Linked DNA regions of Coturnix japonica. The main gene of each other region encodes a partner of the protein of the gene in region 5 in a complex. Links are inferred from orthologs where the notes say so. Each region holds a gene or a part of one and is shown on either strand. Other genes may lie near its edges.

Region 1 (4,280 bases), on a different chromosome or scaffold from region 5:
CTTCCCCCTGCAAAGCAAGGGAGTGGGGAAACTGTTACCTCGAAGTCTCTGAAAAGCACTGAACAGAAGCAGCAGCTGGGGAACTCTGCGGATCCAAAACGAGCCCAACATCCTTCCAAAAGGGCCACGAAACCCAATGCTCCATCTGCAGAATATCTCAGAAAAATTCAGGCTGACAGGTAAGTGAAGCACAAGTGTGATGCCTGTGCAGGATGCTCAGAGCTGTAAAGTTCTCACTTTACCTCTGCAAAGCAAAATACAGGCTTCTCATCCTCCCACTGCTAGTGTTCCCCAGTTGTGGCTATATCTAAGAATGGCTATATCTAAGGGGAGCACCATGGCCTTGCCATGAGATCTCATGATCTCAGTTATTCTGTAGGGTACACAGAAGCCCTATGGCAGTAGGGCAATAATTGATAAAGGTGCCAGACTCCGTGTTATCAGTGTACACCTATACATTACTGTTGTGTTCCTTTTCTCCCTGGTAGGCAGTATGTGAGTGATGTAATTACAGCCACTATGAAGAAGATGGAGGAATCGGGAACATTTGATAGCCTAATAGAAGCTAATGGGAGAGAGAAAGCAAAGAAAAGCAACTTGAATGACATCCTCATCAGGTCAGAGTTGTGCTTTGTACTTTTCTGATTAGTGACCTAGAGCCAAAGCTCATTTTCCCTCATTATACAATGTAAAAGGAAAACAAAAACAAACTCTACATCAAGATATGGAAGGGATCCCTTTTCAGCTTGAATTATCCTGACTACTTCACAAATTGCATTTGCCCTTGGAGAGGAAAATAACTGACTGTAATAATACTAATCTGACTTGGGAATTGCCTGAGCTTGGACCACAGCGGACACCAGTGTCTGCATTGATGCAAACTCTGCTCCATATCAATTAAAACATAATGTGATGGAGGAGTTTTCTGACCTTCAACTCCTTGTCCCCAGAGGAAGCCAGAGTAGCAAATAATCTGCTCAAACCAAGGTCAGCAACATACGGACTTGAGGTTATACGATGCCCAGGAGAATCTGCTTTGACCCAAATGCTAATGTGCTCCCTTTTTCCAATGCAGGGTTAGCACAGATGGTGGCAGAGGCAATTGTCTTTTGAACGTGAAGCCCACCACTTCCAGCATCTAAAACCAAGGGATTTATTGTTTCTCCAAGGAAGGGTCAGAAAGCAAAAAATGAAAGCAGCTGTTGCTTGTGGAATCCCTGTTCAACACTGGAGTTAGAAAGGGGGCATACAAATTTTAATCATTTTTTTATTCCATTATATCAACCATATCTAAGCACTGTGCTATCTGTTCTACTGCACATTCTTTTCATTGAATGAACTTGATCTGTATTTAAATATACCATATACTTGTCTGGTTTTGTGTCAATATACCAGTCTGAGAGCAGTCTGCAGTAAGGCTGAGACTCCTTATCAGGAGCTCCTGTAGCAGAGTTGCCCAGCTAAGTACCTAAAAAATGAAATGCATGTTTGCCTGTAAAGTGGGGGTAGGGTACAAAGCCTCAGGCAGCAACTCTTCTTACTGGCTTTAGATCAAACAATAAGCATAAAAGCTTGGAAAAGCCCTCAAAGTGAAGTAAAATAATGAGACCTACAACATTATCTCATCCTTTTTGCTTTAAACTGTCAAACTCCCCTGTAGGTTTTGGCCTGGCTCTCCCTGTTTTTGGTTCACTTTCCCTTTCATTCCCATCCTCCCTATTCAATCCATACATCTCTTCCTTCAGGATTTACTTACCAAGTCACTAACTTTGTTGAGAGATCCCTCTGATCTGGAGACGTGCTGCCTTCAACACTGAACTTCAGAGTGAAGACACAAATACCTTTTCTGCTCCTCAGACACTGGGAGCAGCTGCAAGCTTTTACGCTGCACTGAAGCAGGGCAAACTTCTCACTTCTTTTAGTTCAGCTGTAACAAAGGTGCTGGATGAGCAGGTTAATTGGGGCAGCGTTCACTAGGTGCAGCAGTGTATAAAGAATCTGAAAACTCCCTATCTACGTACACAGCTCATGGGGTGTTTTTTTAGATGCATTCAAGTGACTGTATTCTCCCATTTTCCTTCAGGGAAGAGGAAGGAAAGAAGGAGATAAAGTCACTCCAGAAACAGCTGCAAGATGTCAAGAAAGAAACTGAAATAGAACTTCAGGTGAGATTACTTAACACCAGGCATCATGCCAGGGGGAAGTGTGTTAGCAAGCTTGCTCCTGCTGCCCAGGAACTAGTGCTCAGATGAGAGGACACAGCATATGTAGCAATCCATCATTTAAGAACATAGTATAACTGCAGCACAGACTTACATTCTGAATGTAGTTATTGATGAATTTAAGAATGCTGTTCAGTGCTATTCAAGCAGAAACTCAAAGTGCTTATAATTGTGAAAGGCTGTGAGGAAGTCAGAACACCTCAGAAACACTGCAAAGCAAGGACATGAGTGAGTGCTGCTACATCTGCAGCCAGGAAGGAAGAGATGAGCTGCAGACAGCAGGATCTGAGGTTCGGTCATACTTAATGATGCAGACATGACACCTAGCACAGAAGAAAGACTGACAGTGAGGGATTAAGAAATAAAGTGTCAGAATTGGCACAAGGACACGCTATTTTTCTACCTGCAGTTTTGTCAGGGGAAAATATTGTAATTTGCATCTATTTCCTAGGCTTCCACATACAACAAAATCCCAAATACACGAGCCCTGTGCAAGGGCAGATCAATGTTACTACACACACCCCATTGACTTTATCTGTGTGGAAAGCTTCAGCCTTTCTGTCTGCAGCGTGTGAATTGTCTGTGCACACACAGTAAATCTGGGGCATTCTGGACACATCAGACTTGCTGCACAAGTGCAGATCAATTAAATGGCATATCCCTGGTCACCGTGATGCTCACCAGACAGCTCAGACTCAATGGTCATGCATGCTTAAAAAAAGCACACAGCTCGGTGCAGAAACATGCAAGCTTAACCTGTTTCTGCTGAGGTGAGGAAGAAGAGTGTGTGATGAGATACAAGCAGAAGAAAGGCCAGGTCAGAGCTATATAAGGCTTGAAAGAAAAGAATCTGGCACTTTGTCCTGCCTTGCAGCTCTCCTAGCTCTAAGTCATACAAACATGTAGCTCCCACGCTGAAGACATGCTCCTCTCTGTGTGTTTTAGTACCTTCTGCTAATGTGATTCTTGCTTTCTGCCTCATCAAGTGGGATCTGCGCTCATCTGGGATTCTGGTTTTATGTTTCCAGCTTAAAAGTCATTTTCTGGGCTTCCTTATAGCTTCAGCTTTGATAACAAATCAAAGACGAGACGACTTTCAAGTACTGCTTTCCTCCTGTGCCAAAAATATCGGTGTCTCACTCAGTCTCCCAAGGGAGAATAATTTCTATTTGCTTCATATGGGATTTCCCCATAGGCAATTTTACAGACACACAATTATTTGTCACCTCGCCAACTAATTAGGAGCAGAAATACAGCTTGCTGATTTTGGACTATTCTGAACAGGAATAATACACAGACCTGTAGACAAAAGCCTACATGGTTGTCTCCAGTCCAGTGGCTGGGAACACAAAACCAAGCAAATCTCATCATGGAACCAGAAAAACATGGTTTTTGCTTCACGCATGTTGCTTGTGTGTATTTTCAGCCTTAATGAGATGCTAATTAAGGCTGTATTAGCTGGCTCAGCTCATTTTTTTCTTCCTAATAGAACACAAATGAACTGCTAAACGTTTCCACTTCTTTTGTTTCCTTTTGGAAAACACGGATGTCTCAAAAGCTGCTGAGATGAACAGTCTGGTTATATACTTACCCTCCATACAAGAGGGTCTGTGATGGTCCTGGGGCCACGTCAGCCCCCAGAGCAGCTCAGCAGGACACAGAGCTGCTGCAGTAGAGCCAAACCTGGAAGCATCCAATGCCATCTAGTCCAACTCTCCTGCAATGAAGATGGACGTCACAAATCATCACTCCGGGAGGCTGGGTGACCTGTCAGCCCAGACATCCTTTCAGCTAAAGCATCACCGGGGGGTGTACAGCACAGGGGTGTTCTGGCAGCTGGGGCAGATGTGTCTGTAGAGCTGCATGCTGTGCTTTCAGGGCTGCATGCTGTGCTTTCAGGGCAGCATGCTGTGCTTTCAGGGCTGCATGCTGTGCTTTCAGGGCTGCATGCTGTGCTTTCAGGGGCTGCAAGTCCCGGCTGCACAAGGTGTGTAGATAAGCATATCTTCAGGCTTTGCAGGCTGAGGTTTTGCAGCTGCCAGTGGAAAGCTTATCCAC
Region 2 (4,884 bases), on a different chromosome or scaffold from region 5:
GGATGCCAGGAATTAGCTCCAGGTACCAGGCCTGATAGTCTAAGTAATCAGAATTACATGCCCAGAGCCAGTGCAGGGGAATACTGGATCACCACTGATTTTGGATTTCCTCTGGGCTCAGCCTGACTGTCCCTTTGAGGTGCAGGGGTGTTTAAGAGCTCGTTACCTTGCAGCCATTCCGGCAGTCCTGCATGTTCACCCAGTAGTTCTTGTGGTTCCAGACACTCTCAATCCCAAGGAATTGCTCATTGGTGGTGCTATGGCTGTTCCCCGTGAAGGGATCAATGAAGAAAGTTTCGGGAACCTCTCTCTTGCCAGACAGAACCAGAACCCATGCATGGACCCGTAAGCCACACAAACGGTCACGCTTGGGCTCTTCCACTTCCTGTAGTCCAGAAGACAGAACAGAAATTACTGCTACTTTATTGACACTGTAGTCCAATCCACCAGCAATCTTTTTTTTTTTTTTTTTTCCCTGCCCAATTCTAAAGGCCTCCAAACCCCTAATGCTCCTCAGAACAGTAGTGGAGTACATGCTCAGCATATATTCCTCTGCTAGCACACACTATGTTTTCAGAAACCATGTGTTCATAGCCAGAATCTGAGCTGTACTCTACTGCGTGGAGGGTAGTGAGCTCCTTTCTAAGGTCAGCTATTACCCATGTCTCAATTCTTGCTAATGGAGTTTGAGAGTAGGGGGGTAGACCTTGCTAACTCACCATGCCTATCTCTTTTTCCTTTTTCTCAGTTTCTGCTTTCTTCTTGGCCTCCTGCTGAAGCTCAAACTTGCTGTAGACCTCTGGGAGGGGCTTAATTCTATATTTGCTAGACTTCTTCACTTCTTCTTTTGGTTTCTGCCTCCACCAAAGCAAGAAATTGCTGTTAAACCCAGCAGGAATCAAGAAAAGGGAGAAAGCATGGGCAAACTGTTGCCCTCTTTAAATGAGTAACATGATTAGAAAGCAAACAGGCAGTGTGGCTGGGCGCCCCACAGCCTGCCATCACACTCATTCTTATCGCGTGTTGGACGCACCAGAGATGCCAGCTTCATTGGCCTCCAGAGTGCTTTGTCTTTCTCACCAATGTCATAGTTTTCTTATCAGAACCAGACACCCAGGCTCCCCCCTGCCTGCTCCCTGCTCACTGCAGATCTCCTCACCTCCTGTGGCTTCCTGAGCAGTGGGCATACCTCCAGAGTTTCATCCAAGCTGCATATGCTTTGGGTGGCATACCCATTCACACAGTAGGCATCATACCCAGCTCCAATCAGCATGGAGCACAGCAGCACGCTGAAGTCAAAGCAGTTCCCTCGCTGGTACTTCAGGATGGTGGTTGGGGAATAGAGTGAACTGGGCTTGAAAGAAAGGGATATCTGTTCACAGTGCTTGTCTCTTTCTTGGCTTCTTCTGTAGGGACTGCAGCCCCTTTCTTACCGGTGTGAGAGGGCTCTTGAGGGGCTCCATAGTGAGATAGTCAGAGACGAAGCTGGCACAGCCATCCCAGTGGTACAGCTCTGTGTAAGGCAGCAAGGTTGGCCTCACTGTTGTGCTCACAAACTTCTGTAATGCAAGAAGAGGACTTTGATTAGCCAACAGATCTCTAGTGCAGTTTCCTGTCCAAAGCCATCCTCAGACAACCCCTGGATGCAGCAGTTTATATTCAGGACTTCTGTGGAGCACACCAACATACCGATGGTACACCTCATCACCATTCAGAACAGGAAATGCACGGAGTTAAGAGGGTTTGTGCCGGTAGGCACTTCTGTTTGTTTGTGCCTAAAAATTCAAGCTAATCTCAGCCACATTATAGATGTGAGCCAGATCTCTTAGTTTTCATGTGAGACAAATAGCTACTGCGCTTTCTGGCTTCTATATCCTCTGGCATCTATTTATTTCTTTATTTCAACTTGTATGACTTTTATATAATAAATGTTGAAGGAAGCTGACCTAAAGAAGCAATTCCACACAGTCAGAGGAGCAACAGGGCCATAGCTAGACAAAAAACTGTGCAGCTTGGGCCCATCTCCACACCACCCTTTACCTCCACGCCACATTCGTTGACTGGGTGCAGGAAGAGCGGCTTGCGTTCAGGGCAGAGGTGAGTGTACTGCCGTTGGTAATGGTCAGCGATGCGCAGCATCTTCTTTTCCCTTGGGGAATTCGTCTTGTAGGAGTCTGGTAACTCGGATGTGTCAATGCTGCTCCAGTCAAAATCCCTTGAGAGGCAGAAGGAGGCAGAGAAACACAGGTAATAAAGTGGGGAGCAATTTAGACAGGATGATCTGCTGTCAAGACACTGGAGGGGCTCCCTGCTGGAAAAAAATGAGGCTCAAATCCAAGAAGAGATCATTTAAAGTGGGCATAATTTTGCCATAGCCAGGCTTCTCTGGAGTGATGGCAAGCTAATGTAGACCAAGAGGACTGGGGGATGTTTATACAGTGTTCTGATACAACACTAAATGGATGGAAAATGAAGTGATTTATCTTGTCTTACAGAGATGAACAGCTCACCAGGCTTACAGAAACTCCCCACCCTGCCTTGCACAAACAAGCCTCAGCACCAGCTACAATCATGCAGCTCCCTATGGACCCCCCTGCAGGACTGTATCTGCTCATCCCAGTGACTGACACAAACGTGCAACTTACGGTACATCACTTGGAAAGCAGATTTGTTCCACAGACAGCTTTTTCTCCAGGTCGTGAAGCTCACTGCTGTCCTCCAAAGCCTTCAGCTCTTCTTCCTTTTGCTCCCCTTCTTCTTCCTTTTGCTCCCCTTCTTCTTCCTTTTGCTCCCCGTCTTCCTTTTGCTCCCCTTCTTCCTTTTGCTCCCCTTCTTCCTTTTGCTCCCCTTCTTCCTTTTGCTCCCCTTCTTCCTTTTGCTCCCCTTCTTCCTTTTGCTCCTCTTTCTTCTCCTCTACGGCCTCCATTTCGCTTCCTCTACAGAAATACATGCAACCAGTTGGGACAAGGTGTATAGCAACACCAACACCCTTGCACTTGGGGCACGATAACTCCCATTTCTGTGACTGTCAGGTGCAAGCACTGAACTTGAGTTCAGCATGGGCAGGTGGAACACAGGTCACGGGGCAGTGAGATGGGGATTTGTTTGGTGACAGCCATGGCACAGCCTCAGGCCCTGTTGTGGTCCTCCAAGGGCCCCAGCCAGGGCTGTTGGGCAGGGGGTTGTTTGTAGCTGCCTCAGCAGCAGAGCAGCCTCCAAGGCCGCAGCGCTGCTCCTATCGCCTGTTTACATTTCAGGGAGGCTGGGGGCCATCCGTTTCCCTCCCTGCGGTCAGGCTGACCCGCTGTGGAGCAGATGGGGCACGATGGACCTTGTGTCCTCCCCGCAGCCCGTTCAGCCCCGCACCTCTGTCTCCTGACACGGCTTCTCCGCCGGGCCTGGTCACCACGGCAACGCCCACGCACCCAGCAGCCTTGGCGCGGCCTGCGGCCTCCCCCGCCGCCCAGCCCCGGCCCTCCCCCGCCCTGTGGAGGCAATAGGCCCCGAGCTGCACCCCGGGTCCCGCAGCCTCCTCGGCTGCCCCAGTTCTGCTCACCGCTCACTTCAGCTCCTCCGTACGCAGCCTGGCTGTGGCAGGTGCCTCAGCAGCCCCATAGCTAATGGGCTGGGAGCTGTGGGCCTGGGCCTGGCTTTGGGCCTGGGTCTGAGCTTGGGCCTACTCTGCCCACTCCAGGCTTCAGGACTGCCCCAAAACTCATGGGTTCCAATGCTTTTACATGGCGCAGGAGGCTTGGTTTTTTAAGTGGTGGTTCTTTGGATGGACAGCTGCTAAGCACTGCTTCATTGCTGTGTTTTATCTGTGTTAAGGCAAGCCTGCCCTGCTCCCAGGGGGTGCCCACAGCACTGAAGGCTCCTGAGGATGCACCAGGACAGTGGGGTGTGCCGTGACATGCTGGGCATGCAGAGAAACCACAGTCAGATGTTTTAAATAATTTAGCTGAGTGCTTTCTTTTATGCTGCAGCAGAAACAGTGTATCAAGTAGCATCACTTTGAATGAACATTATCATTATTGTTTCACAAAGCGTGGAAGGACTGAGCTCTTATCCCCATGTCTGTCATAGCATCTCCCACCAGATCTGAGATTTCAGAAGTCACTAAAAACCAGAGCACGTATGTGTGTGCATGGGAAGCCATGTACTGAGCGCACAGTTGTTTGCCTCTGTATGTATCACTATGGTATCTGCTGCTCCTGCTGAGGCAAAGCAGGTGCCACAACAGCAGGTGGGTGCATAAAACCCTGATAAGCAGGGGATGGTGCAGAGATAGGGGTATTGCAGACGCTGCTCCTGGTTAGAGTTCCATCAGGGCTGTGATTTGGGTCAGCGTTCACCAGCCCTGAGCTAATCAGAAGGGCTGTGCTGGAGGACACACTTTCAGAGGGCCCTTTCCTCCCCGTTTGCTGCTGGCTCTTGTGCAATCGCAGAGACAGCGTGGGGGAGCGATGAGCTGCTGGGAGGTGATATAAGGGAGGCAGCCAGGAGCGTGAGAAGAACGCAGCTGGCTGCGGGTGGGCAAGTGTGGAGTGGTCTGGCAATGGTGAGTAGGATGAGAGAGGTGGGAGCTTTGTGTTGAGGATATATGCTGTCCTTGGGCTGGTGGGCAGGATGAGAGTGGTGGGAGCTTTGTGTTGAGGCTACTGCAGCCACGGGTGGCACATCTCGGAGGAGGTTTGCAGAGCTGCCCGAGGTGGTTGTGCCAAGCTGGAACAGCCCTGCATTTGCTATCAATGTGGTTCTGGCAGCAGCAGGAGCCAGATTTCCACTGAAGCTGGAGGACCATGCAGTGGGGCCATAGCCCATGCTGCAGATGGAGCTTTACATCCCCAGGGCTTTGCATCCTCCTTGCTCGGATTTCTGGTGGTT
Region 3 (3,128 bases), on a different chromosome or scaffold from region 5:
GTTCACCAGAGGTGGCTCCCTGCACACGGAGTGCCCAGGGTCGCTGAGATGGGCCGTGCACACAGCCCACAGCTCAGCAGCACATCCTAATGCCACATGGCACCTGTCAGCACAGAGACCTGAGCAGCGCTGCCTGGGGTCATTCTCCTTGAAACAGTCTCCACCTGAGCGAGAGATCAGTGCCAAACGCCCACACGCTCCACTCTCCAGGGAGAGCCGGAGTGCCCTGCGGCACCACGCAGCCATGGGTGTGCTGGGAACAGCTGACACAACAGTCACAGCCCGGCTCTCCACATGGCGCAGCCAACAGCAGAGCAGACTGAGGTGCTTTTGCAGTGTGCTGATGCTGGGGACTGGCCACACAGCCAGGTATGTAACAGTGCAGAGAGAGGACAGGGACTGTCTCCTGCCACACAACCAGGCTCTGCCCTTACGCTGCCCATAGACCTCAGAATTTGACGACGCTCACATCTCCAAGGTTTGCATTTTCCCCAGAGCAGCCTCTGCCCTTCAAGAGGGGGAAAGGAGAGGGCCCTGCACCAGTGCACAGTACCTCCAGCTTCTGTGAGACCAAGGAAAGGGCTCCTGGATCGAGTTTGGAGGCTGCAAAGACCTCGCTGAGCTCCACTTCCTTTTTCTCCAGGACATCGAGGAGTCCTTTCAGCTTGCGTTCCAGGAGCAGGTTCTTGAACCCAGTCTTCTGCTGTACTTCATGAATGGCTTTGGTGAACTTCTGGTAGAGCTCATCTCGCTCTGCCTGCACCTGCTCCAAAACATGGCACAGCTTTACACCATCCTCAGGACCCTTTGGGATATCTTGGCTTGCTGCAGCCCCCCCCACCCCAGCACTTCCTGAGCTCCAGAAGGGAGTAAATTGGCCTTCGCTGTCCTCCCACAGAAGCAGAGACCACGCTCTGCTCAGCCTGGCCTTGACTCCATCCTCCTCTATGCTCTGTCCCAAGGCACTATTTTGGACCACAGAGGGGCCCCAGCATGCAGGGGTCTCTCCTCCCATCCTTGCAGCTGGCAGGAGTTCCTGGCTTACAGCTAGTTAATAAGTGTCCTAATTAGAATCTCTCCTCCAAAGCCTATTTCTGACTGCACTGAATATGTTCCTGCCTTAATGATGGATTGTTAACGAGGCCTCAGATCAGTGTTCATATTCCTGGGGATTTCTACGAATTGCAAATGAGCTCTGTTCTGCCTCAATGCATTTATCTGGGTTAGCTGCAAGGGAGAGGCTCAGTCTGGGAGAACTCAGTCAACAGAATATTCCTTGAAGAGGCTGCACGACAAGCAAGGAAGTGACATCCACATGCTAGCAGAATGAGGGAAATACTGTCCCCATATCTCTCTCTGCTGTAGCAGAAGCCTCTCTATGCAGCTCCACTCCTGACCCAGTGCCACAGCCTCCCACCAGCAGGCCAGGAGGGGACCATCAGCACACGCATGATTGCTCAGTGAAGTACAAGGCTGAGCCTGTCTGCTGAGCACAGGAGACGCCAAAACTGTGATAAGCCTTGTTGGAAGTAGCAGCTAATGCGCCGCTCTGGATTAGAGATTTGGAAAGCTTCCAGCTCAGTACAGCACAAAACAGCCTCTGCAAAGTCCTAGTGCCTAAACCTCTATATGGGGACAGGGTTTGGAGAGAGAAACAGGATGGCCAGACCCACCTGCAGATCTCACCTTAGAGAACCGCTGCTCCAGCACTTCATGTTCCCATTGAAGGTCTTTCAGTTCCTTCTGGTTGATTTTCAGATGGGCTTTTGTGTTCTGCAAGTAGGAGGCAACAATTACAAGACTTCTCTGGGAGATGGGTGTTCTGTGTTCTGGCAAGGGGGAGAGCAACCAGCAGAAGAAATGGGGTTGAGAGAACACAAGCTACAGCCACACCAACACCCTTCCCTCTCTGCAGCAGGGTCTGCTCTTCTTTCTTGCTGCCAGAGTTCTGGAGTCCTGTCTGAGTTCTTACACGCATCCAAATAAGCTGAAAGGGACCCCAGTGCATTTGCCCAGCAGTCTGGCCGAAGAGCTCTCAGCCGAGCGGCAGAGGTCACTGCTGAGCAATGCCAGGAAACAGCCAAAGTGACCCAGGAAAGAATAGAAAAGGGCTCAGCAGGGCTGGCAGCTCACCATCAGAGCCTCCTTGTCCTTATCGTAGTGGGCCAACTTCTTCTGCAGCTCAAACACCAGCTCCTGGGCCTGCTGCAGGGTCTCCTTCAGTTGCTTGTTCTGAAGCAAGGCATCTGCCTTCTCCTTCTCCAGTTGAGTTTCTCTCTGCTTCGCCTCCTCCACCTGTTCCTGTTTTTGGGAACACAAGTGCTAGTTCCTATAGGCAGGGTCTGCCCAGCTCCTCACAGCTTCCCAAGTCCCAACACCCTCCCAGTGCTGGCCCAGCAAGCCACATCTCTCTGTGTACAAGAACTTTGCTCATGTAATGTCGTACAACTCCCAGGAAAACAGGAGTGCCAGGACTTCCACCAGGGAACTGGCCAGATCTGGGGCAAGTTACTGGACCAGCTCCCTGGTGACACTACACAACAGGGCTGCAGCAGCGGGGTCAGAGAGCAGGCAGGCATTACCTTCAGCAAGCTGACGAGCGCCAGGTTTTGGAAGGTGACATCTTCATGGTAGTTCTTGAAGTCATGGAAGGCTTTCTCATGGTTCTTCATCAGCTCACTGATCTGGTTGTTTTTCCTCTCCTCGACTTCATGGATCTCAGTCTTTCGGCGCAGGTCAAGCTGATCCCGCAGAGCTTGCATCTTCCTGTTGTACCTGGCCTCCATCTCTGGGGAAGTGCACAGGGGGCCGAATGAGACCCTCCCACAGAACCTAGGCTCTGTTAGCAAGCAGCAGCCCAACATGTGCCACTGCAGCACTGCTCAAAGACAAGATGCTTGTTAACAGCCCCACAGCAGCTGCCACCAGCACACGGAGCAGTTACGTTGGGACCATGGAGAGCAGAGCCCAGAAATAGCATCCTGGAAACAGGGCATGGAAACGCTCCAAGGCAGCCCGTGAGAACCTGATGCGTCCCCTGAGGAGAGCACTGGAGCCAGGACTTAAATCTGAAAGGACTCCTCCAGCCACCCAGCCAGGCAACTGTGCTCAGCAGTATGGGCTGGCAG
Region 4 (4,811 bases), on a different chromosome or scaffold from region 5:
CCCTTATCTGGACCTGCTCTAGTACCTCCATGTATTTTTTGTACTGAGGTGCCCAAAACTGAACACAGTACTCGAGGTGAGGCCTCACCAATGCTGAGTACAGGGGCAGAATTCACCGAAACCTGGACAGGCTGGAGAGCTGGGCAGTAAGAAACCGGATGAGGTTTAACAAAAGCAAGTGTAGAGTCTTGCACCTAGGGAGAAATAATTGCATTCACCAGAACAGGTTGGGGGATGACCTGCTGGAGAGGAGCTCTGCTGAGAGGGACCTGGGTGTCCTGGTAGACGACAGTGGCCAAAAAGGTACATTAAAAAGAGCATGGCCAACAGGTCAAGGGAGGTGATCCTCCCCCTCTGCCCTGGTGAGGCCACATCTGAAGTACTGTGTCTGTATTGGGCTCCCCAGTACAAAAAAGACGGGGATCTCTTGGAAAGAGTTCAGCAGAGTTCATAAGGCTCTAGAGCAGAGGTAAAAACTCTTTCCCATCTCCACTAACAACCTTATTGTGAGTTTTTCACAAGTTGGGAAAAGGATCTGTGAGGACTAATGACATACTGCAGCAGTAAGTTAAATTCCCCAGAATCACTACTATTTACCAGAGAAAATCCTCATCAGAGAATGGCTATAAACCATCTCCTTAAGTCTTCACATCACAATCAGTTATGTTTCTGGAAGACCTTTGTTACCCAGAATCAGTCGTCCAGTTCTGTATGGGTATAAAGGTGTGCAACAGGAGCTCAGAATATTTCATCTACTTCCTTTTGGATTCAAATTCATGACTTATTAATTGTATTTTAAGTATGTGCTAACTAGCACAAAGAATACAGTGTGTATAAAACTCTCATACTGATCACATACACAGTATTACCATAATGATAAAGCCACACTGAACATTCTCTTTTATGTACTTCCATGTAATTTCTTAAATCCCAGCTGGAGAAAAATACGTCTTGTCTTCCATCTAGTTTTACTTCAGGCACTACTGGTCTGACATTTTACTTTCAGGTTCTAGTAACATCGGCACTGAGATCAGAGAGATGGAAACTTAGAAAATCTGACACGTTCTGTGAAATTATAAAGAAAGTACCTGAGAACAAATGGAAGAACAGACAGATGGAATTAAGTAGCAAAAAAGGGGAAAGAAACAGAACGATGGGAAGAAAGATACAGACAAATACACAAAAGAGAAAGATGAAGCAGTGTAATGTAATCAGATGGGAATAAAGAAAAAAAAATAATTAAATAACGTTGAAAGCACAAATGCAGGAATACAAATTCATGCATAAAACATACAGCTCCATATATCATGGGCATGATATTAGCACTCACACACATGCAAGATTTTATTCGCAATTATGTAAGCTAGAGGGTAACACATTATCAATGTCATGCAAAAGAGGCTGCAAGACTTGGCCTTACACTGTTTTTTCTTGTGTACATCCAGTATATCTGTTAAACATTAAGGTAAGCATTTTAACTTTGATGAAGACAAACTTGAAAATAATAGGACCTAAGGGAAACGTTTACCACAAAAGCAGGTGGAACTACAGTTCTACCAAGAACCAAGGGGAATACCCTAAAGACTAATTATTCGACAATAAAACTAATGCTGTTCTTCTCTTTGAGACACAACAAAGTAAAAGCTGCAGTTTGTGTTTATGTAAAATGCTTGTCAGAAGCACAATTGCTGCATGAATCCAGGATTTGAGGATTCTAATCAGCCCCCTAACTGCTACCTGCAGGAGGTCTAAGAGCAACTGACATGGAGATAAGCCATCTCCTCTTATGGGATGCTTCTGCACTTCGGTGAGACACTGAATATTAGTTTGCCTTGGTGATGAGACACCTCTATGAGGCATTAAGGAAATCATCTGCTCAATAAAAGTGTAGGATTCTCATGAGTGTCCAAAGGGAAGCTAGATGCCTTGTCTTCACACTATCCATGAGATACAAGTCATTGTCTTCTCCCTACAGGCAGGAAATCAAAGCCCAGCTTGCCACCTTCCTGTGATCTGTCAGGAAGGGCCAGGAATGGAATTCTTGACAGCACAGTTTCCCTCTAGCAGATAACTTGTGGTGGTCTCCTGGGAACAGCTCTTTACAGGATGATAAACTACCTCTAGTAATTAAAAAACAATCAACAAAAGGGTGTGTCTTCAGCAAGACGGCGCTTCAACTTCTTTAAAATTACATTCGAACTAAAAAAATGCATTAGAAGCTATTGATCAAGCAATCAGAAAAACTCCTCATTCAGCATTACCCACAACTTTTTGTTGTGGGTTTTTCACAGAAAATTGTGCTTTTACTCATTAATACGAAATAACTTATTAGTTACAGTGTTCTCAATCTGTGACTTATTACCACGTTCTCGTGTTTATTTACACAAAGGACGGCACTCAGAAGCGACACTGTTACGAGCTGCTCAGAGTGCACAACCTTCTGGAAACGACGCTGGGACACCCTTGCGGGAGGAGTTACCTCTCGCCTTTCAATCACACTTTCTGGCAGCGCTTCCTGAAGCAGAACACGCCTCCCTCTAAAAATAAGCCCCGGAGCCCCGAGAGTCAGCCGGGATCGCTTTTCCTTGGCGGAGGGCTGGCCCCGCCCCACGCCGTCACCCAAGGCTGGGCCCCTCGCTTCCCACTCCCAGGCGCGCTCCGTCCCGCAGGCCGCTGTGCAGGCCCCGTGCCCGGCCTTACCGTCACTGCTCACCGCCTGCGCCATGGCCGAGCCCCGAGCCGTCGCCGTGGCGACGCGGGGCGCAGCGGCCCGGCGGGCGCTCCCCTCCTTCCACCGCGGCCTCCCCTGGCCCCCAGCGCCAGGCCTGAGCTGGCAGCCCTCCGCCCTGGGAAGCAGTCACCGGGCCCGCTGAAATAAAAAGCATATAAAAGCTGAGTGAAGCAGTGCAGTGATTTTTTGAGTGCACTAACTACTGCACTGCGTGGTTTCAAGAGCAGTGAGTGACAGCCATAGTCCTGGGTGCTAATGCTCCAAAACATCCATCGCACCCAAACACGGATCCCAGGCATGGAGGCTGCAGCTGTAACCCACCACCCTCCCTCCCAGCTGGGACCAGTAATGCTTGGGGTGTCACTCCCTGTCATGGCAAAGTGACAGAACCCACCGCTGAAGACACACCTGGCACGGGTGGCATCGGCAGGCACAAGCACCACTGTCCTGGCAGGGAGACTTGGACGAGCCCCAGCAATCTGCTGGTTCACAGAAAAAAAAAAAGTCTTCCCAGCAATTGCAGAGATTTCTGCATCTGAGCTTCAGAAAGTGAAAGAACATTTTATTCTAAATATCGTCACTCTTGAAACAGCTAAAATATTCTCAGCGATATTAAATAAAACGCAGTTTAAATATAGCCGTGTATTTTAGCAGATGTACTTGCAATGCGCAGTTCTTCTGAACAAATGATTGTGGAAGTGGAGAAAATGCAAATATGAGCATACCAACAAGATGCAACCATATACTCATAGGAACTAATGTTTTAAGGAAATTCCTAGAACCAAAGCACTGTCTTCCCCGCAGTAGGCGCTATTTGTTTATACTGTTTATATTGTGCGTAGCTCAGAGTAAAGAGGGTATAATATAGGGTATAATATATACCCAACAGAGCGTACAGTGTTAGTCTCTTGGGAAAACAGCTGATTATGCTCTCTAACAAAGTTGATCCCTCCAAATGGTTACCTATAGACTTGAACAGTTTATTAAAGTAACTGAGTACTTCCAAGTATGTGTTTTGACTACATGGGTAATGTGGATTTGTTTCCTCTCAAGCAGATAACTGAAGTTTGAGTGATAACAGTGCAAAAGCCTAATCTAGAGAATGTAACAGTAACAGAAGGAAAGGCCATTATCTTTCACTGTGATGCAATCCCCTTTCTTGTTCCTTCAATGTCTCCAAACACAAAACCTTCGTCTTTGCTGGTTGTTGATCTGTTGTGGTAGATGTATTTGAAACTGAAGAACAAAATACATTGTTTGACAAACACAGAGCTTGCTTATTACTTCTCTCATCGTCTCAGCGTGAAATTTTATGTTCTTCAGTGTTGTGCCCAAGGATTAGATTCCCTGTGTCATTTTCCAGATCACCTGATTCATCACAGGACATGCAGAGCAATTCTACAAATGCTGATGTATTTATAAAAAATGAATGTTAGTTCAAAGTCTTCACAAGATTCCCCTAATGAATGCTTTAAAAACTGATTTTCCACTCATTCAGATTTTCATGCCCAGCCCATGCCCAAAATATGGACAACATTCATCTTTGAAATACATTTTGCTTGCTGTGGAAATTTGAGACTCTTGTATTTCTACAGCAGTTTTTGTGTAGATCTGAGCCATTGTGAACATGAAATAGTAAGAGTCATTTCACTCAGGCCACTTTATTTTATCATCTTCCCATCAATCTCAGCAGTATTTGGGCTTGGCTTTCCTCACACACTATATCTGACACACACTTATCCCAGTTTCCTCCAAGAGTTATGGTAGTTAAACAATAACGTGTAAAATCCAGAAAGAAAGGGGAAATACTGAAGTCTGCAACAGATACTACATGTTGTGTTTGCCACACTTAGACCTACTGTAGCAGCTGACTCAGACCCTCATTAGCTGCCACAATCGCTCCTTTGGGAGAGCATTATTCCAAGTATATAATAGTACTGGTCAAATCCTGGATATTTTTTCTGTATGTTTGGCACCCTTAGCCTAGGTACAAAATCTTTTGTCATTTACAGCTGTTATTAATTTCAGCAAGGACTATTTCACAATCTCTTGCCCATGTTACTGAGATTCCAGTCAGGAC
Region 5 (4,280 bases):
AGGAACCTGAGGAACCTGACAGTGGTCTCCTCCAAACTGCTCCCAGGTCTGCCCACTTGCGAAGACAGAGGATAGAGAGGTAAGACAGGAGCTTTTACCCAGGGATTATTTCTAGAGGAAGATAAGAACTACTCAATGCAACCACATCCAAAATTGCATTATTAAGGGTTTAGCCTTTGTTTGCTCCTGTATTTCCTATAGTGGTCCCATGCACTGCCTTTAATGCCGTTGTTTTCAGAAAATTTTGGCCACAAAGCTGTTTCCTCAGAAACATTTTCACTCTCTAAAGGTTTGTTGTTGTTGTTGTTGTTGTTTTTTGTTTGGTTTCCAATTTTTCACTGTTTTGGGTTGTGTTCTCATTTTTTGTATGCCTGTATACATCTTTGTGTTATGTTCTATCTTTTTTGACCTTAGTACTTAAGATGGTAGTAGATCCAAGTCTTGAATGCAGACGGTATCCCAGATGTTCTGTTTCTGAAGCAACATTGTTTTGGTCTCAAAAAACTTGTCTTTATCTGGTAGAAAGATTCTATAATAAGAAAACTAATATTAATGTGACCTGCTGTCAGTATCAACTTTGAAAACGCCTTAATTGGATTTCTAATGCTCTACTTGCCAGTTCTCTGTTGGCATTCAGTTTCTGTTAATTCATAGCGTGCATTACACTAACGACTTTATCCTTCACATGAAAAATGAGGTTTGTTACTTTTCAGAAGTTACATACTAGTGTATTGATTCTGAGTTTTAATAACATCAGTCATAACGGGGATCCTCTGTGTTGTTTTGAATTTTTGAACATTTTTCAACATTCAACATTCATTCTGTCCAGGAATGCTTGGAACTGGAAAAAGATAAGAATTTGATGATGAAAGATAATAACTACCTGTGAAATGTTCTTTGTTCTTCTTTTCCATCTCCTGAATCTGAATAGGCAGTTATTACCAGTATTACTCTGCCATCGATTTCTATTATGCTCAGCTGTAATATCAAAATGAGCGACTCCTTTCAGTAGCGTTTACAGGTTCACATGTGAAATCTGTCTCATTTAGTCTTAGGGCAAGAACCATATAAGAGGTTTGTCATTTCTGCGGCTTAGCATCCTTAATTATGATTTTAACTGCTTAGATGTTTTTGAGTTGTGCAGAACCCTGTCGGGGATCTTGGGATTTCAAGATCCTACCCTTGTAGAACAGACCTCTGGTTGGACTAATACTTGACTAGAATTGAAAATCTGTTTTTGGCTTACAATGTCAGTGTTTCTTTTTAATGCTTTTTATGTTCTTCTTTTAATTCTATACATATTTCACACTGCATTTTCTATGTTAGATCTGTGTACCAGGCCTACTTTTTATTTTCATTTCAGTTTAGTCAGATTGGTTATTTTTAAAGGTCAGATTAAGACAAAAAGCATTTTTACATAATTACCTTTGAGAATAGGCTAAAAATTTGGCAAAGAGAGTGGTTGAAAGGATGGGTAGGGGCTGCTCCCAGTGTCAAATGTCCACATTTCATTATTTAGTTGCAAAATTGCAAAGATCTCTGCAAAATAGATGTTATAAACAAAAAATTTAAAGGGACACAGAAGTGAGTGTCTCAACTAAGTAATCCTGAATTCTATAACTAACTGCAGAAGATAAGCATAGCATTTTGTATATTTAGTCTAGTTGCTGCTCTTCTATTTGTCAAAGGAAAAAATAGTTCATATATATAGTCAAATAATGATATCATCATGTAACATTGGGATGGAACAGACACATTTTAGATAACTTAACTCCATCATTTCCTAACACTACATTACTTAACTAGAGAGCTTTCTCATCCTTTGGTAATGTAAGACAGAAAGTAGCTTGATTCATAAGCCAGATATTAGTTGATGATGTGTTAAGAAGACATTTTTCCTCTGGACAACTTCAGCTTTGTATACTACTTCTCAGAAATCTGATACTGCAATAGTTTCAAGTAGGATATTAGTCAAGATGGACTGAAACTGTAATGAAATACTTAAGTTTCTATGGTACTCAGAGAATTTGAACTTTTAACCTTCAAAATGCCTTTGTTTTTTTAGGTGAATGTAGGAATTTGCAAGATTTAAATCTCTCTGAATGTCAGGGATTGAATGTAAGTAACAAACTTTATCCACATACCTATTACAGATGAATCTGGCAAGTCAGCCTTCCACTGTATTTTTTTCAAATGAATAAAAAAATAAGAAACTTTTCAACAAGCCTCAAAATTTGATGGTAATTATTTCAGGATTATGTTGCTTGTCTTGACCTATCCAATTATCCAGAGGCTAAAACTTATACTACATGAACCTTGTGAATAAATATGTTCTTGTCATGTTCAGAATGCTCATTTGGCATGGTCTTAAAATTACTGATTATATGCAATTCGCATGTGAATTCACATAACATAGACCTGAACCAGCTCCTAGATATGATTAATTTCAGCACGTCTCTACAAAGAGCAGAAAAAACGTGCAACCTGTGTATTAAATGTACTTGCTTATCTGGGTTATATCAGATGCTTAGTTTGTAATAGAATTTGGACTATTTATTCCAAAATATTGTTAGAATTTTAATTATACCTTGTAGGGCAGTGGCTTCTGGCCCAACCATTACATAGTGAATTTTTTGGGGGAGGGAAAAAAAAAAAAAAAAAAAAAAAGAGGGAAAAAAAAAGAAATCAACAGTAATGACATAACCACTGTAAACTTCCTAGTGTCATATTTTGGCAAACTCGGAGGACTGGTGAAACTGGAGAACTGTTGACATTTGGAGGTAGTAGATACTTAACAATAATTGCAAGGAGGAAGACATGTTGACCCTTGAGGGATGTCATTTGCCACAAGACAGCAATGGCACTATCGGTGACAGTTCTTTGGCCTAGCAGTCCAGGCAAATTTTCACTCACTTTGGAATCCACTTATCCAGCCTATATTTTACCCATTTGGCTATAAAAGATACTACGTTGAAGGCCTTGTTGTAGTCAAGATACGCAAACTACTTTTCTCCTCTTATCCAAAGATTTTGTTATTTCATCATAGAAAACTATTACATCAGCGAGGAATGCTTTGTGCTTAGTAAATCCTTGCTGGCTGTTTCCTGTCACCTGTTTATCTTTCATTTGCTTGGTCATGGCTTCAAGGACGATCTGCTAAATAAACTTCTCAGGGAGTCTGGTAAGGCTGAAAGTCTCAGAGTTTCCTGGATCCTTCTTTTTCCCCTTCCTGAAGGTGAATGCGACATTTCCTTCCTTCCAGTCATTTGAAATCTCCTTTGTTACTTAGATCATTGAAAAATGATCTATTCTGTCAAATAGTGTTACTGCACTCTTTGTAAAAGTTTCCATGGAAAGAAATAGGAGGCATTACTTTCAGAGAAATCTACATACATACAAATATAAGATAAACTAATGCAAATAGAATTTTAATGTACATCTGGATTTTTTTATTAATATGCAGGATGAATCAATGAGACTTATATCTGAAGGCTGCAGATCTCTTCTCTATTTAAATTTGTCATATACAAATATTACCAATGGAACACTACAACTTTTGTCAAGGTAAAGTTAAAAATAGATGTTACAGTATCTTTGTTTTACTCATACAGTAAGCTCAGAGGCATGTATTGTAGAAATACCCTTTTAAAGAGATTTATCAGATTCTGTNAACTTACAAAAAACTCAATACATTTCACTTAGATGACAATTCTTCTTTCTTTTTTTTATGTTTTATTATAATTAAAAATATATGCTAGGCTACCCTATGTATTCCACAGATTTCTGCAGAAAGAGAACGTGGTAGTTAAAAAATTTCTGTGGCGTATCCAGCTATTCCTGATGATACAAGAAGTTTGCACAAAGGAATGTTTGTAAAAATTCTTTTTTTATTTTTAAAGAAGATTGTGGGTGGGTCTATTGTGAGAGCCAAGTAGTTGTGTGCCAACTGCGAAGAGTTAATTCTAAGATCTAACTTGGAAGATCAGTGTATGGAAGACAAATAGATAACGTTGTTAGAAGTCTGTCATTCCTGTTTAAATGTGTCTCTCTATGAGACATGGAGATTTGGTGAATTAGAGGTTGGTTGATGCACTAAAAGCTGACATCACAAAAAAAAAGCATGATGGTCAAGGATGTGCCTCCACAAAGATGTACATAGGTTTTGAAGATAGATGTACATTATTTATCTTTCCCATGAATAAAATTAATGCCATCCTTTCAGCAACACCCCCACAAAGTCCAAAAATCTCTTTTTCACTGTCATCACAGTTTTTATTCTT
Region 6 (5,077 bases), on a different chromosome or scaffold from region 5:
GTACATCCCTTCCTAATCGCCCTCGTCTCTACTGCACATGCGCAGCAACGACCTGCATCCGCAAACCTCTATGTGGGGACCAAGGAGGTAAATTCCTCCCCACTGTAAGGGTAGAGCAAGTCCGAGAGTGCCTCCTTAGACTGAATGAGTACAAGTCTATGGGGCCAGATGGCGTGCATCCCAGGGTCCTGAAGGATCACATCCGAGACAGCCAGCATGCTTCACCAGGGGAAAGGTCTGCTTAACTAATTTGTGGCCTTCTATGATGGAGTGACGGCGTTGGTGACGAAGAGAAGGCGACAATGTCATTTACCTGGACTGAGCAAGGCCTTTGACATGGTCCCCACCACATCCTCATCTCCAAATTGGAGGGAAGTGGATTTGATGGTGGACAACTAGATGGATAAGCAATGGTTGAAAGCCGCAGACAGAGGGTGTGGTCAATGGATCTATTCAGGTGGAGGCCTCAAAGGTAACGGCGTGTCCCCCAAGGGTCTGTCTTGGGCCGGTGCTCTTCAACATCTTTATTAATGAACATCGATGAGGGAATGGAGTGCACCCTCAGCAAGTTTGCTGACGACACCAAGTCGAGTGGTGCGCGTCGATACGGTGGAGGGAACAGATGCTCAGCAGAGGACCTTGACAGGCTGGAAAGCTGGGCTCGGGTGAACCTATATGAGGTTCAACACGGCAAAGTGCAAGGTTTTGCACTTGGGCCGGAAGAACCCCAGGCACCTGTACAGGCTGGGAGGAGTGGTCCTTGAGAGCAGCTCAGCTGAGAAGGACCTGGGGGATGGATGGATGAGAGACTCAACATGAGCCAGCAGTGCGCTCTGGCAGCCCGGAAAGCAAAATGGGATCCTGGGCTCCATCAGGAGAGGGTGGTCAGCAGGGATAGGGAGGTGATCGTCCCTCTCTATCTTCTCTTGTGAGGCCCATTTGGAGTACTTGTCCAGGTGTGGAGCCTCAGTACAAAAAGACATGGAGATTTGGAAAGGGGCCAGAGGAGGGACAGGAAGATGATCAGGGGGCTGAGCACCTCCCCATGAGGACAGGCTGAGGAGTTGGGTTTGTTCAGCCTGGAGAAGAGAAGGTTGCGGGGTGACCTCATTGCAGCCTTTTCAGTACCTGAAGGGAACTTACTGCCAGGAGGGGAGTAAACTCTTGGAAAGGGCTGACAATAGCAGGACACGGGGAAATGGTTTTAAGTTAAAAGAGGGAAGATTTAGGTTGGATGTTAGGGGGAAGTTCTTCACTAGGAGAGTGGTTAGGCCTGGAACAGGCTGCCCAGGAGGTTGTGGATGCCCGTCCTTGGGTGTTCAAGGCCAGGTTGGACGGGCCATGGGCAACTGATCTTTGGGGTCTGATCTATGGGGATCTATGGGGTCTATGCGGTCTCTATGGGGATCTATGGGGTCTATGCGGTCTCTATGGGGATCTATGGGGTCTATGGGGTCTATGGGGGATCTATGGGGTCTATGCGGTCTCTATGGGGTCTATGGGGTCTATGGGGTCTCTGTGGGGTTCTATGGGGTCTATGGGGTCTCTATGGGGTCTATGGGGTCTATGGGGTCTCTATGGGGATCTATGGGGTCTCTATGGGGATGCGCAGCTACTGCGCATGCGCCGCATCCTTGTTGCTAGGCAAAACAGCAGCGCCGTGCCACTACGCGTGCGCAGTAGTTGCGTCGCCAGGCAACGCGTTTTCGCATATGAGCCGCGAAGGGGGTGAGCGATCGGCGGGGTCGAGGTGGAAGGAGCCGGTATCGGCCCCTGAAACGGACCCGAACCCGGACTCGGAACCGGATCCGACCGAACCTGGCCCCGAGGAGCGGATCGCCGCTCGCCGTCTCCGCATCGCCGCCCGCCTCGAGGCCCAACGGCGGTGAGAAGAGGGGGCGGCCATTGCGAGGCCTAATCTTATGCCTGATCCCTTCTGTCCCCTATCCAGGCCCTTGCTGCCTTTGCTGCCTTGTACCCACACCCCCATGGGCCAGGCCTGTCCCCCATCCCATCAGCACTGTATGAAGGCCAGGCCTGTCCCCCATCCCATCAGCACTGTATGAAGGCCAGGCCTGTCCCCCATCCCAATGGGAATGGCCAATGGTGCTGGAATCCACCATTCTTGGATGAGTTCCTCTTCTTTTCTGCACTTCTCGGGGCACATTGAGGCTGCTGAATCATTCTCTCTATGCTGGGATGGAGTCACAAGCTTTGCAAGGTTATCTCGCAACTTTAGGGAGATAGAAGTGCAAATGATTCTGTCTTTTTTCCCTTTGCTGCCCAGGCAAGAGCTTGGAGAAGATGAGGAACCAAAGGAGGAGGATGAGGATGTGGAAGAGGAGAGAAACAGCCACAAGGAGGTGGAGGAAATCCGGCAGGTATGACAGTAAGACAGGAAGGTCCTCTTGGATCCCTAAGCTGCAGGCATTTGGCTTCATGCAGTACTCAGTGTCACCCAGCAGCCTGTATGAGAAAGGACACAGTGGCAGAAGCTCTGTAGGACCAAGTGGGAGGAGACTCATGGGCTATAGATTGAAGACAAGATTTCCCTGTAGCAAAATGCCCATGGATTGGAGGGTTCTGAGATAGGAGCTGTGCATCCAGACTCATATCCCACTGTCCAAATATAGGGGAAGCAAAACAGAAATGTGCACTGAGCACGGGCCAGTTCCTCTTTGTGCTGCTGGCCTTCAGGGCTCTCCAAGTGAAGGAGGATTCATGGGTGCACTGAGGTCTTCCCAGTGCTCCTCAAACCCTGCTAGAACATGAGAAGATGGAGCTTATGGGTCTACATAGGTTTCACAGTGTGGGGATATGATCTGGAGCCTTGACAGCATGAGAGCAGCTCCAGTATCTCTCCCTCCAGAGTTGAAGTTTACAGGTATGTGTATCATCTCCTTCACAGAAGTTGGCCAAGCTGCTCTTTGAAGGCATACGGATGGTGACAGAAATCCAGGTGGCTACTGACTTGAGGGAAACACAGAGGAGAGCAGAACAGGCAGAGCTGAAGAAACAGAGGTAAGAGACTGTGGTGTGGGTTTGCTCTGCTGGAAAGGAGAGACGCAGATGTTTGTGCAGCTCTCTGAGCACATCCCGAGATGGCTGCATTACATGCAAAGCATCCTAACTCTGAGCATCCACATACACTTAAAAGTTAGGGTTGCACTGCAGTTAATTGCCAAAGGACACCAAGAGCTCCCAGGTCCAACCTGCCACAGGTGGATCTTTACAGAGTGTTTTTAGCAGTGAGTGTAGTTATTAGCTATAGCATGAGTAGGTGCAGGGCCACCCACACCAGGCAGTTGTGTATGAGGACTGAGAAAAATGTGAGGCTGTGCTGATGTGAGGAAGTGGATATAAATGTCTTCATGGTGAGGGTGGTTAGATGCTTGCTCGGGGGCCCATCGTGATGTAGGGATATTCCAACTCAGCACTTGCCTGAATGAGGCCCTGCACCATCTGCTCTGCCTGGTTAATCCTACATTAACCAGGACCCAGTGTTTTTCTGAGGCTCTTCCAGCCTCAGTTATTCTCCAGTCTCTCTATGGCTGCCTTGGGTAACCTGTCCTGCCCCACCAGAGGGATCTCTAAGGGTCTGGCTGTTTCAGCCTTGCCTGCACAGATCAGTTGAGGAACACCGAGTCCTTTCTCTTAATTGCCTTTGGAGGGCACTGTAGGAACAGTTTGTGGGAGGCTGGCTGGAGCAAGGCATCAGTTCCTTGCTCAGAATATTTTCTATTAAGCCTATCTATAAGGATCTGGATATTTTAAGCCCATAAACAGCCCATAAGGAAGGTTTCAGAGAGGCAGTGGTGGAATGTGTGTGGGAGAAACTCAGTCCAGCTGCATGTGACAAAGGGAAAGCACTCCCTTTGATTCTCCAGGGTTGGGCTGTGTAGCTGGGAGTTGTGTCACCTCCCACCTGCTGCCTCATCTTGATGCCACTTTTCAAGCTAAGTTATTCAGGAGAATGTTCCTGTGGCTTTGTATGTGGTGTAGGCCACTGAACCACTTGTTGCCCTGCGATGGTTTACCTTCTTCTACTGCCCACAGGGTGGAGAAGCTGGAGAATGTAGCCAAGTACAGTGCTGAAAAGTTTGAGGAGATCACCTCGAAGTGGGCCTTGGCCAAAGATATGACAATCCCTCAGGATCTGTGGCAGCTGCTGAACCAACAGCAGCAGCTGTGCACGCAGCTTCTGGATGAGAAGAACAAGCTCATTGGTGAACTGCAGCAGGTAGTGTGGGAGCCATGCGGAGGTAACCAGGGAGGACTGGAGTTTTCAAGCTTTGGAGGGTGCTGTTCTAAAGCAACAGCCATCCCCCTGGCCCACCGAGGCCCCAGCACATGGCTGGGATGCATGCAGTGTCAGTTGGTCCAGGACAAGAAGGGGATTGTTTTCCTAAAGGGAAGCAAGTCTTCTCCAGAGCAGGTTCCTTGGCCCTCAGCAGCAGGAGTGGCCTATTGCAGATGTTTCACCTTCCACTCTATCTTCTTACCAGCTATGACCGACCTTTGGTGGTGATGTCTCTCCTCCCACCTTTCCTCCTAAATACCTCATGACTTGCTGGCCTTTTGTCCTTGTCACCTTTGGAAAAGGCAGGATCTGGGTCCTACATTCTCTGTTATCCCCTAGTAAAACATTCTCTCTGATTTCAGCATCTGCTGTCCTCCTCCAGGAGCTGAAAAACAAAGATGAGCAATACGTGCAAACCATTAAGAAGCAGTCAGATGACATCCACCTGCTTTTGGAGAGAATGGAGGAGCAGACCAGGATGATGTTACGAACTTACCGTCACAATATCCATCAGATTGAGGTAGCCAGTTCATTCGGTAGAAGTAGAGTTCAGGGAGAAAGACTGCAGCTGTTCCCTTCTCCATATCTGTTGCCAAAAGGCCTCAGCCTCTTTCCACCAGCTGGGTTGATTACTGTCCAGAGCAGAGAGCTGATGTCTTGATGAATGAAGCTCAAATCTGGCCAATCAAGAGCACTGAATGATGCTGGGTGCTGAGGGGCTGCTTTATACGATGCTGTGGATGACTTTGGTTCAGCACAGAGAAACATGGTAACATT
Region 7 (3,760 bases), on a different chromosome or scaffold from region 5:
CATCCCTCACCTTTGTGCCCCCTCCCTCCTAAAGGCTGGGATCTCCTTTCCCTGATCTGGCTGATCTGCTCTTATCCCACTAATCGCATCACCGCTCGCTGAGCACCTGCACGTGCACCTCCTCCAGTTGGCATGAATGAAGGTGGAGGGCTGTTAGCCATATGGAGCAGCAATGGAAGAAGTCCATTGCAAGAGAAGAATTTCTTGTGGCTGCAAAGAAGCGAAGAAACATCCTTTGATCGTGCCTGAGTAGAGAGGAGTCTCACCTGATCCTGCCTGTCACATCCTTGAGTCCAGGCCTGAGTGATTCCAGGATGCGCTTGGCAACGTGCATAGGGCTGCACACAAGATGGCAAAAAAAAAACCACTATGATTTGTATTGAGGATAATGTCACAGTGACCCCATACTTTTAAGCAAATAAACCATCCAGGAAAATCTGGCAGGGCTGCTGTGTGATCTGCACTCAGGCCTTGAATATCTCCAGGGACTCTCGTCCTTAGCAAAACGGTCCCTTCTCTGCCTCGGTTTGCATAGAATCCATTTGCTATAGATATCCATTTATGAACAGAGGCAGAGAGGGAGCAAAGGGCTGGTGGCTGTTGGGGATTTGCAGCCAGCATCACTGCACTGTCCTGGGAAAAGAAATGAAGAAACTCCAAAGTCGGGGAATACAGAAATGTCAGCTGGAACCTGGATCCAAATGCTGGTAGTTCTGGGACTTGTTAAATGCAAAGGAGTGGAAGTGTCATACTGGTAACATTAACAGCCAGAATGAAACTCTGTAAGACACAGCACTCAGTGTAAGTGTATCCATGACCAGTTTCAGCTCAAAGGGGCAGAGAAGTGAAGAACTCTGAAGTTGCTACACGGCTACTTAAATGCATTTGACTCATACTTCTGTGAAAGGGAAAAGCTACAGTGTGCTCACAGGGCATTGAACACTTGGAGGATCCAGGGAGAAGCATTAAGTCTTAAATCTGACACTGGCGTGTCAGTTCTTTTGTGGATCAGTGGTGATCCTGCAGCTTCCTCCTGTGGAAAGGGAAACATCCTCTCAAATGCACACAAGGAGAAACCAAGCCAGACAAAGAGCTTCATCCTACCCCCAGGAATGATTTTATTCCCATCTTCAGTAACAACAGAATTGGAGAGAAAGTAGAGTTGGGTAGACCTAGTCCAGTCCCTTCACCAGGAGACCTCCTCCATCTTTTAGAGCTAGCAAAGCTAAACCTAAAACAGCAAGCCTTATCTTCATGCCAACACTCTATTTAACTATGAGAGGCAGCTCCAGCCCTGGACTGTTTGGGCCTTAATGCAAATGCTATCTCAACCCTAATGCTTTTATCTGGAAGTGCTCTGTCTCAAAGGAGTCAGTGACTTTGACAGGAGAGTAAATAGATGTTGTGATTATTTCTTTCCCTTCTTGCCTTTGCCCTTGCCCTTGCCCTTCTTCTTTTTTGGCTTGAAGGTACACCGGATCACGTAGCCTCTCCAGAAGGCCTGGATGAGGGTGGCAGCGCGGGTCATGACAGCCAATTTCTCCAAAGCTTGCTTCTTCTTCTCCTCATTTAACCTGCGCTCCTCCTCAATCTGGGTATACTCCGGGAGAAGCACAGCATGTTTCTCCATCAGCAGGGACAGCTCAGCCTTTTCTTTGGTGTAGGCAGCATGAACCTCCTCAAACTCAGCCTGCCAAGACAACAGATAAATACCAGCTACAGCAATACTGAGGGCAACCAGCAGCTTCTCTCTATACAACCCTAGGTAAGGATTCTTTTACCCTTACATCTGGATGGAGAACTGCCCCTCACATCTATGGCCTCCTGTGTGAGAGCCAAATGTCCATTTGATAGGGATGCACCTGAACATGTCAGCTCATGGGAGAGCAAAATGCTTTAGAGAGGATACCTGTTTTTCTGCCATGTCTGTGTCATATACCTCGACCCAGTTCAGAATTTCCGCCTCCATTCTGCCTTTTCTCTGAAACAAAACAAGGTAGGTTACTTGCTGGCACTTGAAGCTTGGTGATACAAAGCTAGGAGGGGTGGCTGACATACCAGAAGGCCACGCAGCCTTCAGCCAAACTTGGACAGGCTGAGAGCTGGGCAGACTGGAACCCAATGAGGTTCAACAGGGGAAAGTGCAGAATCCTACACCCAGGGAGGAATATCAGGGTGCACATCAGTACAGGTTAAGGGCTGACCTGCTGCAAAGGAACTCTGCAGAGAAGGACCTGAGAGTCCTGGTGGACAGCAGGGTGACCATGAGCCAGCAGTGTGCCCTGGGGGCCAAGAAGGCCAATGGTATCTCAGAGTACATTACAAAGAATGTAGCCATCAGGTCAAGGAAGGTTCTCCTCCCTCTGCTCTGCCCTGGGGAGGCCACATCTGGAGCAATGTGTGCAGTTCTGGGCTCACCACTTCAAGGCAGACATGGAGCTGCTGGAGAGAGTCCAGCAGAGGGACACAAAAAAAATGATGGGCAGCACAAAGCGCTGCTTTCCCTGATGTGGAAAGGCTGAGAGCCCTAGAGAAGGCTGAGAGGGGTCTTACCAATGCCTATATATATTTAAGGGGATCAAAAGGATCAAAAGTCAAGAGGATGGGGCCAGGCTCTTTTTGGTGGTGCCCAGTGACAGGACAAGGGGCAGTGGGTACAAACTGGAACATAGGAAGTTCCATCTGAACACAAGGAAAAACTTCATGACTTTGAGAGTGACAAAGCACTGGAACAAACTTCCCAGAGGTGACAGAATCTCCTCAGGAGATACTCAAATCCCACCTGGATGTTTTCCTCTGCAACCTGCTGCAGGGAACCTGCTTTAGCAGTGGGGTTGGACTAGATGATCTCCAGAGGTCCCTTCCAATCCCTATGATTCTGTGATTCTGTGTAAAATCCTGAGTTAGGAAACAGCATCATAGCTTTGAGCTCTAGCATCATCATATTTGAGTAGAACATCTCCTCCTTGTGGCAAGCTTGCTTCAGCTGACCTATATTTTGCTCCTGATTTGGGGATTCTCATGGAACAGGCCTCCGCTGCCTGAGGCCAAAAGCACCTTATTTGTTCACTAGTACAGAGCTGGATGAGGGCTGAGGATTGAAAGACATCAGAAAGGCATGTTATGTGGTAGGAAATGAAAACATCTCATGGAATGAGGCAAGTAATCAACAAACTGGGGCAACCACCCTAGAACTGAAGTAACAGAGAAATGGTAAACATGAAAGCCCTACAAATATGGAGCCTCTTAAGAGGTATTTCTAGGTGTAAGACAGTCTAGCAGCAGTCTAACCTAACAAGGTCCCTCCTGTAAATACAGCTATTTGTACTCTGTGAGAGAAAGATCAGCCAGAGCCCACCACAAGCCACATGATTTCCTGTATGACACTGGCCCACAGACTTCCAAGCCATCATAGGTCAGACAAGGCATTTCCCGTCTCTTGGCATGACAAAGACGATATTAGGCCACCCAGGGGTACAGCACATGCTAAGGAAAGGGAAAGGGGATCTCTGTGGCCAGTAAATCTCTCTGCATGAGCTGAGCAGCTCCTCACAATGATCACTGCAGCAGCCTGGCTGCCTCAGGAAAGAAAAAAAAATAGAAGAAAAAGAAAAAAGGCTGATAAAGCCACAGCATTAAAGGAGGTGCAGTTGGATGGCTCTAACTTGCATTTGATGCTTTGTCACCTGCCCAGCCTCTGCACTTTGGCTAGAGCACAACCTCCCTGTCGTGCAGCATCACAGCACTGTTTGAGGAACTT

The links.
Region 1: FBXL13 (region 5) and IQCG share a complex: the UniProt entries of both Homo sapiens proteins name them as parts of the nexin-dynein regulatory complex. The link is inferred for Coturnix japonica from reciprocal best matches to the Homo sapiens genes FBXL13 and DRC9.
Region 2: FBXL13 (region 5) and DRC7 share a complex: the UniProt entries of both Homo sapiens proteins name them as parts of the nexin-dynein regulatory complex. The link is inferred for Coturnix japonica from reciprocal best matches to the Homo sapiens genes FBXL13 and DRC7.
Region 3: FBXL13 (region 5) and GAS8 share a complex: the UniProt entries of both Homo sapiens proteins name them as parts of the nexin-dynein regulatory complex. The link is inferred for Coturnix japonica from reciprocal best matches to the Homo sapiens genes FBXL13 and DRC4.
Region 4: FBXL13 (region 5) and EFCAB2 share a complex: the UniProt entries of both Homo sapiens proteins name them as parts of the nexin-dynein regulatory complex. The link is inferred for Coturnix japonica from reciprocal best matches to the Homo sapiens genes FBXL13 and DRC8.
Region 6: FBXL13 (region 5) and DRC1 share a complex: the UniProt entries of both Homo sapiens proteins name them as parts of the nexin-dynein regulatory complex. The link is inferred for Coturnix japonica from reciprocal best matches to the Homo sapiens genes FBXL13 and DRC1.
Region 7: FBXL13 (region 5) and IQCD share a complex: the UniProt entries of both Homo sapiens proteins name them as parts of the nexin-dynein regulatory complex. The link is inferred for Coturnix japonica from reciprocal best matches to the Homo sapiens genes FBXL13 and DRC10.

What each region holds. Positions count from the first base shown.
Region 1 is NC_029524.1:13,170,712-13,174,991, reverse strand, and holds part of IQCG (dynein regulatory complex protein 9), read left to right. Parts: coding exon 1-179; intron 180-488; coding exon 489-617; intron 618-2,083; coding exon 2,084-2,165; intron 2,166-4,280. UniProt on the Homo sapiens protein: Component of the nexin-dynein regulatory complex (N-DRC), a key regulator of ciliary/flagellar motility which maintains the alignment and integrity of the distal axoneme and regulates microtubule sliding in motile axonemes.
Region 2 is NC_029526.1:1,941,773-1,946,656, reverse strand, and holds the start of DRC7 (dynein regulatory complex subunit 7), read right to left. Parts: upstream 3,396-4,884; 5' UTR 2,951-3,395; coding exon 2,646-2,950; coding exon of another isoform or gene 2,496-2,645; intron 2,248-2,495; coding exon of another isoform or gene 2,216-2,247; coding exon 2,041-2,215; intron 1,560-2,040; coding exon 1,434-1,559; intron 1,373-1,433; coding exon 1,160-1,372; intron 855-1,159; coding exon 720-854; intron 386-719; coding exon 167-385; intron 1-166. Other genes in the region: uromodulin-like, read left to right, coding at 2,195-2,247, 2,496-2,646. UniProt on the Homo sapiens protein: Component of the nexin-dynein regulatory complex (N-DRC) a key regulator of ciliary/flagellar motility which maintains the alignment and integrity of the distal axoneme and regulates microtubule sliding in motile axonemes.
Region 3 is NC_029526.1:16,811,057-16,814,184, reverse strand, and holds part of GAS8 (dynein regulatory complex subunit 4), read right to left. Parts: intron 2,789-3,128; coding exon 2,583-2,788; intron 2,302-2,582; coding exon 2,134-2,301; intron 1,774-2,133; coding exon 1,687-1,773; intron 764-1,686; coding exon 554-763; intron 1-553. UniProt on the Homo sapiens protein: Component of the nexin-dynein regulatory complex (N-DRC), a key regulator of ciliary/flagellar motility which maintains the alignment and integrity of the distal axoneme and regulates microtubule sliding in motile axonemes.
Region 4 is NC_029518.1:31,176,283-31,181,093, forward strand, and holds the start of EFCAB2 (dynein regulatory complex protein 8), read right to left. Parts: upstream 3,053-4,811; 5' UTR 2,726-3,052; coding exon 2,701-2,725; intron 2,502-2,700; exon of another isoform or gene 2,480-2,501; intron 1-2,479. UniProt on the Homo sapiens protein: Component of the nexin-dynein regulatory complex (N-DRC), a key regulator of ciliary/flagellar motility which maintains the alignment and integrity of the distal axoneme and regulates microtubule sliding in motile axonemes.
Region 5 is NC_029516.1:11,568,417-11,572,696, reverse strand, and holds part of FBXL13 (dynein regulatory complex subunit 6), read left to right. Parts: intron 1-2,065; coding exon 2,066-2,118; intron 2,119-3,463; coding exon 3,464-3,564; intron 3,565-4,280. UniProt on the Homo sapiens protein: Substrate-recognition component of the SCF (SKP1-CUL1-F-box protein)-type E3 ubiquitin ligase complex.
Region 6 is NC_029518.1:96,153,501-96,158,577, forward strand, and holds the start of DRC1 (dynein regulatory complex protein 1), read left to right. Parts: upstream 1-1,668; 5' UTR 1,669-1,712; coding exon 1,713-1,885; intron 1,886-2,287; coding exon 2,288-2,381; intron 2,382-2,908; coding exon 2,909-3,021; intron 3,022-4,056; coding exon 4,057-4,240; intron 4,241-4,682; coding exon 4,683-4,820; intron 4,821-5,077. UniProt on the Homo sapiens protein: Component of the nexin-dynein regulatory complex (N-DRC) a key regulator of ciliary/flagellar motility which maintains the alignment and integrity of the distal axoneme and regulates microtubule sliding in motile axonemes.
Region 7 is NC_029530.1:9,590,826-9,594,585, forward strand, and holds the end of IQCD (dynein regulatory complex protein 10), read right to left. Parts: intron 1,982-3,760; coding exon 1,910-1,981; intron 1,691-1,909; coding exon 1,409-1,690; 3' UTR 1,095-1,408; downstream 1-1,094. UniProt on the Homo sapiens protein: Component of the nexin-dynein regulatory complex (N-DRC), a key regulator of ciliary/flagellar motility which maintains the alignment and integrity of the distal axoneme and regulates microtubule sliding in motile axonemes.